Drosophila melanogaster: one gene and its partners. The protein of the gene in region 3 purifies or fractionates together with the protein of the main gene of each other region. This does not show direct contact. Each region holds a gene or a part of one and is shown on either strand. Other genes may lie near its edges. The genes, in order: RluA-2, U2A and SmF.

Region 1 (7,916 bases), on a different chromosome or scaffold from region 3:
TCGATAAGAACCAACTAATCGATAGAATTAGGGGCATTCCCTTCCCGCCAACTGATTGTGGTTTTAAATTTTAAAAATTCGCAGAACTGCAGTTAACTGAAACCACTGTGAGCAGAGTGTTCAGGTGAAGTTCTTGCAAAGTATTATCCAGGATAGTTGGCATCCTAGGACATCCACTGCACGACGATAAATAATACTCCACGAGGACATCCCCTTGCACCGCAAAATGATAAAGTAATTCGGCAAAGTAATAAAACAATGCTACAAATGAAGATAAAATGGAAACACAATTTGTTAAACTCTGTAAAAATATTTCTTTTTACTAAAGCGTCGTGTTTGCAATCAATTTTTCCTTTATACTTTATCGTAATCAATATTCGAATTACACGCCCATTCCGGCAATTCGGTTTCGTACTCCCAACCAACGCCCTGAAAATAAGATTTAATTTGAAATTAAATCTTTAAAAATGTATAGTTTGAAACTGACCTTGTATTTCCATGCATGCAAGTACATTATGAGATCCTTTGTGCCGGGGTCTCTGTAGTTTATCTTGCATTCAGAACATTGCGGATCCGAAGTTGTCTTCTTGGAATCAAAGGACCTGTCTGGTTCCTCATAGCACGTTTGGGTGGCAATCTGTGCAGTAGCCTATAAGCATTGTGTTCTCCAGACTTGTACAACTATTTTAAGTTACTTACATCGTTACTTGGTTCAAGGTTTTTTGAAATCACAGGCTTTTCAGTTTCACTATTAATAGGAGCCTGAACTACTGAGGGAGCCTCTACTACTGAAGTACTTGCTGCTACGTCTTTTATTTCCCCTGATACGATTTGATCTCCTTCCAAGCCCAACCAGTTTTCTGCATTATGAATGCTAATTAGGTTACTGATCAACTGTTCCTCGGTTATTCCACCGATATCTCCTCCTCTTCCTTTCAATGGACCGAAAACTTCATGGTTGTACAAAGGATCATTTGAAATGGGATAGCCTGTGAAATACGAGTGTTATAATTGAATGGAATTATCTGGTTGTCACTTACCCAAGAATTGTAAATGCACTCGTATTTGGTGCATTCGTCCTGTTAGTGGTTTGCACAAAACAATACTATCACTGCCCACCTCGCCGATTCTTTTAAATGTGGTCTTACAGTCCTTGCCCTTCGGTGAAACCTTACAAACACCTATTTTGTAGCTCACGACGTCGATTTTCTCATTGCATTCAACTATGCCACTACGAAAGATATGAAAAATAAGCAGATATATAAAAGATTAGATGCATTTTGGACTTACTCTGGAAAGCGTCCTTCAACGCGGCAAACGTATTCCTTTTGCACTTGGCGAGTTCGGATTTGCAGCTCCAATTCGCGGGCTTTTTCAGCAGTCCGTCCAAACAAAAGTAGGCCAGATGTGAGACGATCCAATCTGTGAATGGTTCGCAGGTTCTTCAGATTGTGCTCCTTGGCCAGGATGAAAACTACCGTGTTGTGTCTATATCTTCCACAAGGATGTACCTACAACATACGATTGTTATTAAATCAAATTCCTTCCAAATTAGTATACCTACCGGTATCGATGCCGGCTTATTCACAACCACAATATCCTTGTCCATGTACACAATCTTGATGGGCTGTGAAGTAACAGGGACTTCGTGTCTAGAATGCAAATGTGTGCATATTCAAATGAGATTTCCTGCTGATGCTTACCTATGCACCACATTGGCCAGCAGATCATTGTGCTTGATTTTATAGTCCTTGGGCACTTTCTCAGAGTTAACAGTCAATTTTCCCGCTTCCAGGCTGCGTTCATATTCCTCCGGCGGTGCGGCTCGAAATTCGCGGACAAATACATCCAGAATTTTCTCATCAACCCAACGTCCTTTGGCGAACGTGGTGAATGTGAAAAAATAAGGATACACCTTCCGCAGACCTATAGATTGCAATTTTATAACAGAATATCTTCTAAGTTGGTTTATTAATATGTTGGCCATACCATTCTCAAAATAATACGATGTTTCGTCGTATCTTTCATCGCTGAATCCAGGACGCTTCGTTTTTAGACTATTGGCCTCTAATTTTACTTTTTTCACATGCCCTTCGTCATCTGTGCTGCTAGCTTTTCGCTTTTCCGACAAAACTTCTTTTGATTGCGTTTCAGACTTTTCCTCTGATATGGATATCTGTAAGATAAACCACGACGGGTGGTAATAGTTTTTTAAAATATTTTCAGCTTCATTGAATGTCTTCTTTTTATTTTTGAGCAAAAACACCTTTAGTTCTTGCTTTAAACTGAACAATTGCTTACTATTTAGAAAATTCGTTTAGATTTGAGGAACTTCACTCTTGAAGATACAGAAAATACGAAAGCCTACCGTGCCAAAGTCATCATATATGTATCCTTATCAGCTTATCAGCTCTTAACACATTGGAGCCTTGTTTCCGGTGTTTGTGTGCAAACAATTCCTCGTTTTCATTCTGCAGCCCAAGCATAATTTTCAGACAGACTGTTTGTTTTTTCCTTGTTGCACACTAAAAGGAAAACAAAAACTACAAAATTGGCTGCGAACCAGTAGTATTTTGTTGGTTACTGGTCTACCAGCCAATATGTTCTAGCCAGGAAGCAAACATAGACAAAAGTCCATAATAAAACAGGTCTCTTGAGTTGTTTAAGGGTTATGCAAAGTTTAAAACTATAAAATACAAACATTTTTTATCATTTTTGTGCTGCCCTCCCTTCTCCACATCTCAAGTGCCATAGACATCATTGATTCTGCGTCGGTCCTCGTAGTTTCACGAAGCTCTACAGCAATTACCTTAAGAATTGCAATTACCTTAAGAATTGCAGTGACCTCTGATCCTGCAGAGATTATTCTAAAGCTGTTATCAGCTAACAATGGGTTTCGATAAGGTTTTTATATTGTTAGGCGGTGTTTTTAAGACTAGAGGAGCTAACTCCCTTGGGTACTGCTTCTTGATACACCCTGATTTCATCCGGATCAGCATCTTGGAACTTATCCAACTGGAGGATAATGACATGCTCTTCTTCCGTCGCCTTCATTGGCTCATGTTTCTGTTTCCACATGCTCTTGATGGCACATTTCCAATCCGTCCACACCTGTGCGCATAATTATCATACAAATTGGATATCATCGGCGGCTCCCCTCACTTGCCGCCAATTCGCATTCTATTTTTATCGCGCTTTTTTGTAAACAAACCCACGATTTTTCTTTTTCTTCACATTAACCTACATTGATAACAAATTCAACTTAGCGTTGCCAGATCAATTCAATTTGGCGCCTCGCAGATATCTCAACACATTCGAAAGTGCCATCTCTATGGGTTTTGTTCCCTTTATGGTCTTAATTAATATATATACTACACAGATTTTACATATTAATGCAATTGTTATTTTTATTTATTTCATAATTTTTTGTTTGTCCTTGGCTATTAAAGTCAACATAAATAATGCTTTTGATTGTTCCAAGTCAATATGCCACCATTATTATGCCACAAAAAGAAAGTTAAAATCATTAATATTACCTGTTAATTATAATTAACAGAGGGGATGCAATCAAACCTTATTAAAAAAAATAGGTATTGTGTCTGTGCAAAAAGCCCAACAAGAGTTTTTAAAGTGGCAAGATTTGGGAATATTTGATATGTTCGAATGACAAGGCTTATGTTTTCTTAACAACCACTTTTCTATACATTTATTTATTTAGTTAATTGCGCAAAGTGTGCCTGATCCGCAAAGCCACTTAGTCCACAGGCAGCCTATCTTCCCTTTTAATTCCTCAGTTTGATGGCGCAAGCCAGTGTCAGTGGAATGGAAAATGGAAAAGGAGTGCAGGCGACCAAGTCTTAGAGGGATTTTCCTCTTCCTGCAAACCAGTAACCGCCATCCGCGGCGGTTTTCGTAATGCGTGTTTACATGGTATTGTAAGAATTATAAAAACGACTGGCCCAAAAGGCGCATCGCGGAAACAATGAGGACCGCACTTAGGATACCCACCCGCCCGTAAGCACGAGGCACTGACACTAATAATTGCGGAAACATCACGACCAACAGACCAACTTGACAAAAGTAGCTCGTTAGGCAGCCACCGCGCGAGATGCCGGGACACTAGAAACCCACTGAAACCCCACCCAAAAAAGAACTAATTATGACAAATCCGTGGTAAAATATCTACGAAGGCAAGTGAAACGTGTCCGTCCATTCGTGCGTCCAGTTGGTCCCCACACATAACTTAACTCCTTGCAGACGACAACCTCGAGCTATTTCCCTATATACATATATATACATGTATATAATGTATATGCGTTTGTATACACTCCGGTTTTTAGTTTATTGATTAGTTTAATTAGCGAGAGAGAATTAGGAATGGGTCTGGCGCTTTAAGTGTACACTCTGGCTAAATATTTAAGGCCATTTGACACTGTCACGTACGTTGAGGTGGAGGAACCAGCAAACAAAAAGCCACGAAACTAGCATGCCTGTACCGGTTTTTGTGGGCCATTAAGGGTTTTGTCTAAAATCTGGTTTTTGTTGCACATCTTAGCAAAGCCCTAAATTTTTAAGAATCTACTGACGCCTAGGGGTGGCTTTAAATTTCTATGGCGGCCAGAACGTTGACTCTTCCACTGCAGGCACTGACTGCAGTCTCGTTTATTGGGGCATTTGTGACTCAAAGTCTCGTAAAAATGGCTTAAATCTCCAGGTACCAGGGTGCAGCTACTCCTCCTGGCTCCACCGCATGTTTATATACAATTTTATGACTCTCGAAACTTTAAGGTAATAGAATAAAACTGAAATAAACCCATTTCTTTCACTCACATGTGTGGGTGTCACGCAATGCTGTTTGAGCTTTCTTTCATTATTGTTATTAATTAGTTTGCAACTTACTTCGAAACTTTTTCTGAAGAATAAATACAAAACAACACTTTAAGCTTCAATCAAAAACCTAATTTGCCTCTAGTTTATTACGTCAATTTAGAATTAAACTACTACAGTATGAATGAGCTTAGATATGAAGAGCATTACAACAATTGAAATTGTACCTAATTAATTGTTTAAATTAATGCAGCAAATTGCATTTGCTACTCCCTGATTAGCTTTTTAATTAAGTTTTAAGTGTGCGATTGGAGCTGCTGCATTGAAATTTCCCTCGACACCAATAATACTGCATAAGTGAGGACAGGAATCCGAATCCACACAATTTGCGAGCAGACCGGACTAAATTGTTTTGGGCATTCGATTCCCCCAAGATAAATATGCTCTTTTACTAGCTGCGAATCGGTCAAAGTTGGAGAAGTGGTCGCCAGCCGCGGATTCCTCGCTATAAAGCGGGTAAATAAATGGGAATTAATAATGGAGGGCGACACGCCAGGGTAAACAAATATGCATTCAAGTGCATGAACAAAACGGCATTTAATCAAGTTCAGCTGGATTTTACACATAAATATATTCCTGAATATACAATATATTTCTAACATTTCTGTAATGTTAAAAAATTATAACTATACAGTATATAATTTTAAAAATTTAGTTTTCTTTTTTATAAATACACAAGGTATACTCAGCAAACAATGCGGATCATATGTAATTATATATTGTATGATATCTTGATATATAATAGTAACCGGATCTATGTACTTAATAGAATGTCTTATCTTATCACTACTCACCGGTGGATCTTTGCTTTCAGCTGGACTACCATCCTTGTCGTCTGGACACCACACGCATTCGGGGGAATCTTCCCGATCATGGAGATTGCCATCCGAAGTGGGATTTGTGTATAGCATATGGCGGTGCAGGAATATGTTTTCCACGTCCACGGATGAGGCATCTCCATGCTGGGTTTGTGCATTTCTCAAGAGTTTGGAACTCTCCATTTTCAACAGCCACGAGAATTGTTTATAGTTTTTGATTTGCGGCCAATTTACTAGAATATCTAAGCAACGCTATAATAATAACAACAAGTTAGTCAACACGTGCGCAGATTTCAGTTTCAAACACAAAAACACTCTGCTTTATGCGATGATTCAATTGAATGAGTTAAATGTTACTTTAATTCATAACACAAACACCACTTGCCAAACGAAAAACGTCCCTAAATTGCCGCAAAAACCGCATGAAAATTACGTTTTTATGCCGAAAGCAAGCAAAACCAAAACATTGCCTATCGATAAGCGCGCGAACCACTGATTCGCGCCGATTGAACTTCATTAGGGGTATTTGCACGGAACTTACTGGTTTTTCAAAGCCACTCGAAACCGTTTTCGAAATGCTGAAGTTCAAGATAGGATATATGATATTCGTTAAACTAAAGATATTGCGTGAAAAACCAATACAGATTTAAATTGTAACAAAATGTAAGAAATCGCTTCCACCAAAAATGAGGCAGTCCTGGGATAATGATAATGGCTTAACGTTTTTGAAACCTTATCTTCAAGCTGTTTAAGTTCTTTTAAAATAACACCCAAAATAACAAGCACTCGAATTGAAAATCCAAATTAGCAGCAGTCATAAAGAAGTTAATTTATAACTGCCTGCAATATCGCAAATAATATACGACTCGAGTTGGCATTTATCCAGCCTTAAGGCTTAATTACATTAACGTGTGTTCCCATATTTGGTAACTGCATACATGTGTGCGAACATGCATGTGGGAGTGTAATCGGAGGCCCAGCACACCTTTCTATATATATATACATATAAATGTTATATACAGGTTGGTAAGAGATCTGTGTTGTTTATAAACACGCGCATGATGGGCATGTTTAGAGGCAAAGCTTTTCTATGAAAGCGAAAAAAAACGCGATGTCGTCATTTTTAGTTTTGTCCAGGCGAAAAGTCAATTTAGAACAGTAGCTCAAATGTGTAGGTGTGTGTGCGGGCTCACACACACACATACACGAATGCGGATGGGAGAAATTTAATGGGTGAGCTAGCGCACACCTACAAAATATCGTGCTGATTTAATCACTTTCTTCGTTTTCACAAACGAACGTCAACTTCTCGCACACCAACACACACACACACACACCTAGTCGCACACACCCACACACACCAACCCCTGTTTATTCAGGATGAGCCCTATAGCTTTTTAGCCATATAGCCATATAGCCCCATAGCCAGTGGCCATTAAATGTTGCCTCAAATGACGGGCAAGCCTTTTCTTTGTTGTTCGCTTTCGTGACCAACCGCGTTTCAAGGAGACCTCCACTCCACTCCACTCCATATACCCGTAGACCATGGCGTCGGGATCTGAATGGAATGGCCCGTGCGAAAGTGGGTGAGTTTCGGAAAACAAAAGTCACGCAGTCAAACACGCAATTCGCGGAGCCTTAGCCCAAATTTGATCAAACATAATGCCTTCTGTATTTTGGTTAGTTGCTAATTGGAAAAAATTATTAAAACTAATCCAACTATCTTTGAGTTGTTTCAATAGTCCTTGCTTATCTAAGGATCAACACGAGCTCGCTTGATTTAGCTTAATTTGTTGCCTACTTTTTGGCGCTCAAAAACATGGAACCAAACTTACAAGGATAAAGTTGCTTAGATACTGAAACAAAAATTATGTTTTTTTAGATTATAATAAGAATTTCTTCACTTCCACAAGATCTACGTTACGAATTTCACTTTTGGTGAATCAGATCTTTTATACTTTTGTTTCGCTCATCATCAGCCTCAACATTCTTTTGTTCATTTTCACTGTGTCAATCGGAAAAGGCAAACGCATTGTTTTCAGAATATATGTACATTCATGTTGGTATGTAATTTTTGAGGAATTCTTTCGAATGATTATTTGGTGCAAGTCGTAACTGATATTAGAAGGTTGTGGCTGCAACACCAGAAGTATGATTTTGAATATGAAATTGCTTCGAGCATTCCGAAAAAGTGGATTTTATACGAGTAAT
Region 2 (3,307 bases), 4.5 Mb from region 3:
TCACTTCACTTAATCAATCCAATGCGCCCCCAGATTCGCCGGCATCAGCTGCGGGATCGTCTACCTGTACGCCATAAACTTTCAGAACGTGGACGAGGACGCCTACGGAGGGGTATGGGAGCTGATCAAGGAGGGGTTCATGACGTCGTTTGCCGGATTCCTGGTCACGTGGATCATCTTCTACACTGGCCTGCACTACGACGCCATAATGGCGGCGAAAGGATCTTAATAACACTCCCCAGCAATACCGGATTCCAGGAGCCAGGTCCACACCACACCACTCCACTCTCCACATAAGCCAGCAGCTCCTCTCGTTTTGTGTCCCCTTTGTACTCGCTGTAGATTGTTAAACTTTTAGCCAATTACGGTCATGTAAATGCATTTCTGTTGTGACCGATTGTCCCGAATCTTTCCGTGAAAGATCCTTCGGCCAGCGGTCTTAGTTGAAAACAGAAGATTCTATATGTTTTTGAGTGTCCGAAATGCAGAATGCGATGAATCAACTTTTGGTGTTTTATTAAAAAATATTGGTCTACGGTTATAAGGTAGCTGACAGATGAGCGGATAATTCTAGTCCTAGTATTCCATGGCCACGGCCCCCGAACCGTTGTGCCCCGCCCCGTTCTGTGCCACCGCCTCCATCTCGTGCTGAAACTTATCCGGCAGCTGGCCGCTTTGCAGGATCTGCGATAGACGCTCCACCTCTGCCAGAGAGCTGGCCCGCTTGATGGCCTCGCGGATGCGCTGCATGTCCTGCGGATTGGCCAGTCGTCCGCCTTCCGATCCCCTTCCCTTGCCATTCCCCGCCTCTGCAGCTATGGCGGCTGCGGCGCTCATCTTGGACTTCCGGCTAATCTCCTTTAGCACGTCCTTGCCCTGCTTGGTGCGGAAGAACTCCTGCGCCGCCTGGCGGTCCTTCTGCTTGATCTTCCTGAAGTCGAGTAGCCGCAGCTGCGGGAACTTGTAGGCCATGTACTCGCGGTAGTTGGGCTTCGTGGATACCGGGTTGATAAGCAGGCAGATGGTTTCCAGCTTGGTGAATCCGACCAGGGGCTCTAAGTCGCTCAGCTCCTGCAGGTTGTTGCCGGTGAGAATGATGGAGCCCAGGTTGGGCACCGCCTCCTCCAGCCCTTCGCTGATGCGCAGGATGCGGTTGTTGTTCAGCAGCAGGCACTTGAGGCGCGGCAGATGCGGCAGGTTGTCCAGCTTGCGCAGATCGTTGTCGGACAAGTCGATGGTATCAAACTGGTCCAGAGTTGCGCCCAGGTTCTCGATTTGTGGAATCTTATAGCCGCGCAAATCCAGCTCGCGCTCCCGGCATGGGTTTATGTATTGCATCGACTGGTTTATCAGCTCCGGCGTTAGTTTCACCATCTTGGCAGTTATAGTATGCTTACGTTTGGTCTTTACTCGGTCTTTTTATACTCTTTTGAAGCTTATTTTCCGAAATGCAGAAAAACAATTCGCTGCCGACGCGAGTTGGTGATGAACAGTTTTCCGATAGCAAGCAATGCCGGCATCGCTATCGATAGATCTAGTGGTAACAATGTTTTGGTATTTTATCGGTCTGCTGGGCTTCTACCATTCTAAATATCGTAATAATACTGGGATTACTCCAATGCTGCCAATAGGGCCCCTGATCTTTCGAAATTCAAAAATAAATAAATAACACTACTGTCCAATATCGTTTCCGTTTAATTTGAATTTCAATAGATTACAATGATGTTTTAATTGCTTAACTTTAATGAACACGTTAAGTTTCTCTTATTTCGTTTCGGGGTTTTGAATGAGAACGGGATACACTCAAAACTCGAAGTGTGTGGTCGGTGGTGGACTGGTTTAAAGTTTAAACGCTGCTCTGAATATATTCTGTGTCGTTGGTGCAAACTACTAGATCATCAAAATTGAAGTTGATCGTTTTGCGATAAGGGTAATTAGTTTTCTATAGATTTCGGTTTTCTGTTGTTAAATGGCTTAGTAATTTTATATCGGTTTCGTTTTCGCCTAGTTTCTTAAATTGTTAACTATTTAGAAAATAATCAATAAGATCGTCGGTCTCCGCCTTGTTTCTAAATAAATGCATTTGTTTCTGGCGGCATAACGCGCCTCAAAATTTGAAAACGGATTGTCGCTTAAATACTATAAATACTATAAGTATGTGTATAGGGGAGGTAAACAGAAAAGGGGAAATAATAAACCATAAAGTTTGTATTTGGAAGCAGTTATAAAAAATATTATATTTCATTTAGATTTTTTTAGGTTTAGCCCATTAAAATAGTTCTTATACACTCAATCGAATTACATAATATGTATAGTGTATCATATTCATTGCGTTATTTTCGTTAGTTTCATTGAAATTGATGTAGAGCACACGCTAAAAATATTTGTAGATTAATTCTGTATATAATTGGCACTTAACTGATTTAAATACATAAAAATATAAAATATAGTACACAAAACATTTTTAAAAATATGCAAAGGTTAATTTGGATAAAAGTATCAGGGTTTGTATCAATAAATAAATCACGTTCATTCTAAATTGCCAAATGAAAACAACACACACGCGGCATTGCACATAAATTAATGGTTCAGTACGATAAGTTGCAACCTTGTTTCCCTCTATCCTTCTGTCTTCACCATTTCATCTCATTTCCTCCTTATCATCAGTATCATCACTTAACGTTATCATCAACCCTACTATCTATCACGTGAAACTGTGGCAGGTTGGGTGAAGGACTAGGGATCGACGTGAGGGAATGTTGAGCATATAACTAGAACACTTATAAATCAACGACATCCTCCTTGGTGTAGGTCGAGTCTCTAAAACCGCGTCTGGTCGCCATGCTCTGCTGCAGTTCTTCAACTAATGTCTCCTGTGGGTAAGTGGAAGAGTGATTCTATTAGACGGCTCGATTAAATAGGAGCTAAACAGGCAAACACAAACTAGATGAAATTACAGGCAAAATGCGGCATACTGGCTAATACGACACAACTTAAGGAATACACACTATGCAGCAAATGCGAATGTTAGACGCACAGGATGAGCACCGAAATCAACCAAGCGAAGTAGCCAGCCAATTTTGATCGCTGATGAATAAAAGTTATCGCATTGCAGCTCCGGCCTCGGAGATCAAACCTCGAATAGCGTGGAGATCTCCTTGCCGGCTATCCGCTTCACACCACCACTTTCTGCGCAGCTTCCAGACTTGGCGCCCAACTGTCCGTTGCGCATACTGAGGATTTCGTTGCTGATTAAATTGGCACAGGCCTTGGCATGCTGCTTCTCGTAGCTGCTGGATGAACTGCT
Region 3 (2,983 bases):
GCCTTCGCGCCCAGCTGGGATCCAAAAAAACGCCTGGTGCAGCGCCTGCAGAGACCAATTCTGTCGAGCACAAGGACTACAGCTTCTAGCCTTATAGCACCATGTCCAAGGTGGGAGTTGTGCAGTTGCAGAGGCGTCTGGATGGCTTACTGGCCTTCCTCAATCCGCACTGGGATTTTGTCAATTGCCACATGGTGAACTACTTGACGGACCAGCACTGGGACGGCTTTTTATCCGAAACGCTGAAAAGTGAGATCGCCGGCAAGGAAGATGTGGCTCTGGCCATAGAAGACCTATTTTGGAAAACTGATGAATCAGAAAGGTTTCCGGCATGGCGAGAATTCCTAGGCAAGAGCAAACAAGAACGCCTGTCGCTTCAGAGGGTCAGGGGAACTCCACGCAGCTAAGCATTCGGGAGTTTATGAGCGCCAAAAAGTGCCATGAGGTAAGTAAACCAACCATTTTAAATGAGAGTATTTTAGGAATTGATTAATCTCTCCGATTAGGTGGATCTAACAGCCGTTCTCGTGGACCAGCTTGTGAAGAACTCCGGTCAAGATTGCTTCATTGTAGACGCGGGCGATGGCAAAGGGTATTTATCCTCGCGCTTGGCGCTCCAGTATGGTCACCGCGTGCTCGGCATCGATGCGAACGCGGCAAACACCGAGAACGCATTGAATAGGAATCGCAAATTGCAGGTAGGCCGGGCTTACAAAATAAAGTTAGCTTTATTTCATTACGTTTGTAGACTTAGAAGTAAGGTGTGGGTGTATGTAGGTGAATCCATTGGCTAGTCGCGCATTTCGCCCTCCTCGTCGTCGTCCTCCATGCCCTTGATATACAGCACGTTGTTGCAGCGGATGAGCACCTCGCCAAGATTACCAGTCACGGAGCCCTCGATCACTTCCTCCGTGTTCGCCAGCTGCATGTTCATGTAGCCGTCGACGGAGACCAGGAAGCCCTTGTACTCCTGGCCCCACTTCAGCTTCACCAGCACCGGTTTTCCCGTCAGGCCGTTCAGGAAGGGCTTGGGGTTAATGGGCATACCAGCCGACATTCTGTTTATTTGATTTTTCCTGCCTTTTTTATAAAATATTACAACAAGCGTGCCGAAAATCGCCGGCTTTTCGCGTTTTTTTTGTGTAGTGTGACCACAGCTGCGCTGTGTAAACATACCAGAACAAGAAGAAGAATAGCATAGAAGAAGAGTATTGAAAAACCATTCAAAAGCGCCAAAATTAAAATTTTATTTAATTTCAGCGCGCTTGGAATGGCCTTACGGAACGAGCGGAGCTGCAAGTCCAGGGAATCACGCCCAAGAGACGTGGTAAAAAGTCGCCAGCCAGGGAGAGCACCAAGAGTGCGCCTGCCTTGGAAAACTACAAGACAACGGCAAAGTTTATAACCACCGAACTTAACTTTGGTGCCCTGCTGGCGGAGAATTTCACTCAGTTTAGACCGGAAGACAGTCCAAACATTTGCCTTACTGGATTGCATACCTGTGGCAACCTGGCCGCCACCTGTCTTCAGGTTTTCCACGCCCAAACGGACTGCCGGTTGCTTTGTAATGTTGGCTGCTGCTATCATTTGCTGCGGGAGCGCTATTCGCAGCAGGAGTTCTTTGGCAATAAGTCCCTGATGGAGCTGCAAACAGACTATGGATTCCCATTGAGTCAGTACCTGCGGGAGCGACAAGTGCGAATGGGTCGCAATGCGCGGATGCTGGCGGCCCAGTCAATTGAACGCACCTTGGACACCAAGGAGCTGCCTAATGTAACGCTCTACTATCGAGCTCTCTTGGAGATTCTGGTTTGCCGCCATGCGCCGGAGCTGAAAAACGAACTGCAGGTGGGCAAGGTACGGAAATTCGAGAGTTTCGAGGAGTACATTCAAAAGTGTGCCACCAAATTGGATGCTCCCTGGTTGGCAGCTGTTGAGAAAGAAGAACTTCAATCCCTGCTCCAGGAATATGCCGTGCATAAATACTTCTTGGATCTGTTCTATCTGCTGCGCATGTCCTTTGCTCCGGTGCTGGAGAGTCTAATTCTCCTGGATCGCCTGCTCTACCTCAAGGAACTTGGCTATGAACGCAGCTATCTGATAGATTTATTTGATCCCGTCATTTCGCCCAGGCATTTTGCAATTGTTTCTATAAAGCAGCAAACGCAACAATAATGAAATTCACAAATGCATCAAAAGCTTGACGAGAAAGCCGGTTGTGTTTAATTATTTATAGATTATAGCGTGCAATACTTTTCATATCGTATATGTATTGCGTTAACGCTTTTAAAAATCTAACTAAACCATAGCACACAAAAAGTAAATAAGGTTGTTAAAACTAAGAATCATTATAATAAATGTAATCATGACTTGTAATTATCTTAGAGTCCCTCTGGATTTGCTGTGGTTTGTTTGTCGTATTTTAAAGCTTTTTCCACCACACAGGTGAATTTATAAGTATGCACTTGAAATTGCTATCTCAGAACTTTTGAGACTTTCGAGTATAAAAACGCAAACAACATTTCAAATCGCCCCAAGTGCGGTGCGTAGAGCTTTAATTGTCGGTTGTGTACGCGGGTGCTCAGAATTTATAGATCCAATAAAAGTTTCCTTGAAATTGCTGGACAAACTTGTTGCGAATTAGGCCAGTTGCAAATAAATTGTGTGACTAAAAAAACCTGTATATTTTCAAAGTAAGTTATGAAATTCGGTATACAAAATTGTATATTTTAATTTGAAAAAGTGTGATATCCTTGAAAAAACCACACTTAATATGGAATTGAGGGCAACTGTGAAAATTAAGATTACTTGGTTACTGTTACTGTTACTAAAATAAATAGAGAACTGGTTTCTAAGAAATATATTTTGGACATTTGCTCTATAGAAATAGTAGTCTCATGTATAATTAATAAAGCTTAGGACGAAATCCTTGCTGGCAAATTTTTAGTGTCATATTTGCTGCCCGAAAAGATTTTCTATTTAG

Evidence for each region.
Region 1: the proteins of SmF (region 3) and RluA-2 purify together in Drosophila melanogaster (affinity purification with mass spectrometry, with the first as the bait; one large-scale study listed by BioGRID). This does not show direct contact.
Region 2: the proteins of SmF (region 3) and U2A purify together in Drosophila melanogaster (affinity purification with mass spectrometry, with the first as the bait; one large-scale study listed by BioGRID). This does not show direct contact.

What each region holds. Positions count from the first base shown.
Region 1 is NT_033779.5:10,475,358-10,483,273, reverse strand, and holds RluA-2 (RluA pseudouridine synthase 2), read right to left. Parts: upstream 6,202-7,916; 5' UTR 5,889-6,201; coding exon 5,682-5,888; intron 2,177-5,681; coding exon 1,990-2,176; intron 1,927-1,989; coding exon 1,704-1,926; intron 1,653-1,703; coding exon 1,565-1,652; intron 1,512-1,564; coding exon 1,291-1,511; intron 1,232-1,290; coding exon 1,041-1,231; intron 990-1,040; coding exon 700-989; intron 650-699; coding exon 488-649; intron 430-487; coding exon 355-429; 3' UTR 299-354; downstream 1-298.
Region 2 is NT_033778.4:7,674,862-7,678,168, forward strand, and holds U2A (U2A), read right to left. Parts: upstream 1,502-3,307; 5' UTR 1,375-1,501; coding exon 577-1,374; 3' UTR 501-576; downstream 1-500. Other genes in the region: CG12107 (uncharacterized protein), read left to right, coding at 34-229; LRR (Leucine-rich repeat), read right to left, coding at 2,781-2,873, 3,137-3,307. UniProt on the Drosophila melanogaster protein: Involved in pre-mRNA splicing as component of the spliceosome. Associated with sn-RNP U2, where it contributes to the binding of stem loop IV of U2 snRNA.
Region 3 is NT_033778.4:12,183,133-12,186,115, forward strand, and holds SmF (small ribonucleoprotein particle protein SmF), read right to left. Parts: upstream 1,179-2,983; 5' UTR 1,058-1,178; coding exon 791-1,057; 3' UTR 712-790; downstream 1-711. Other genes in the region: CG13175 (uncharacterized protein), read left to right, coding at 1-89. UniProt on the Drosophila melanogaster protein: Plays a role in pre-mRNA splicing as a core component of the spliceosomal U1, U2, U4 and U5 small nuclear ribonucleoproteins (snRNPs), the building blocks of the spliceosome.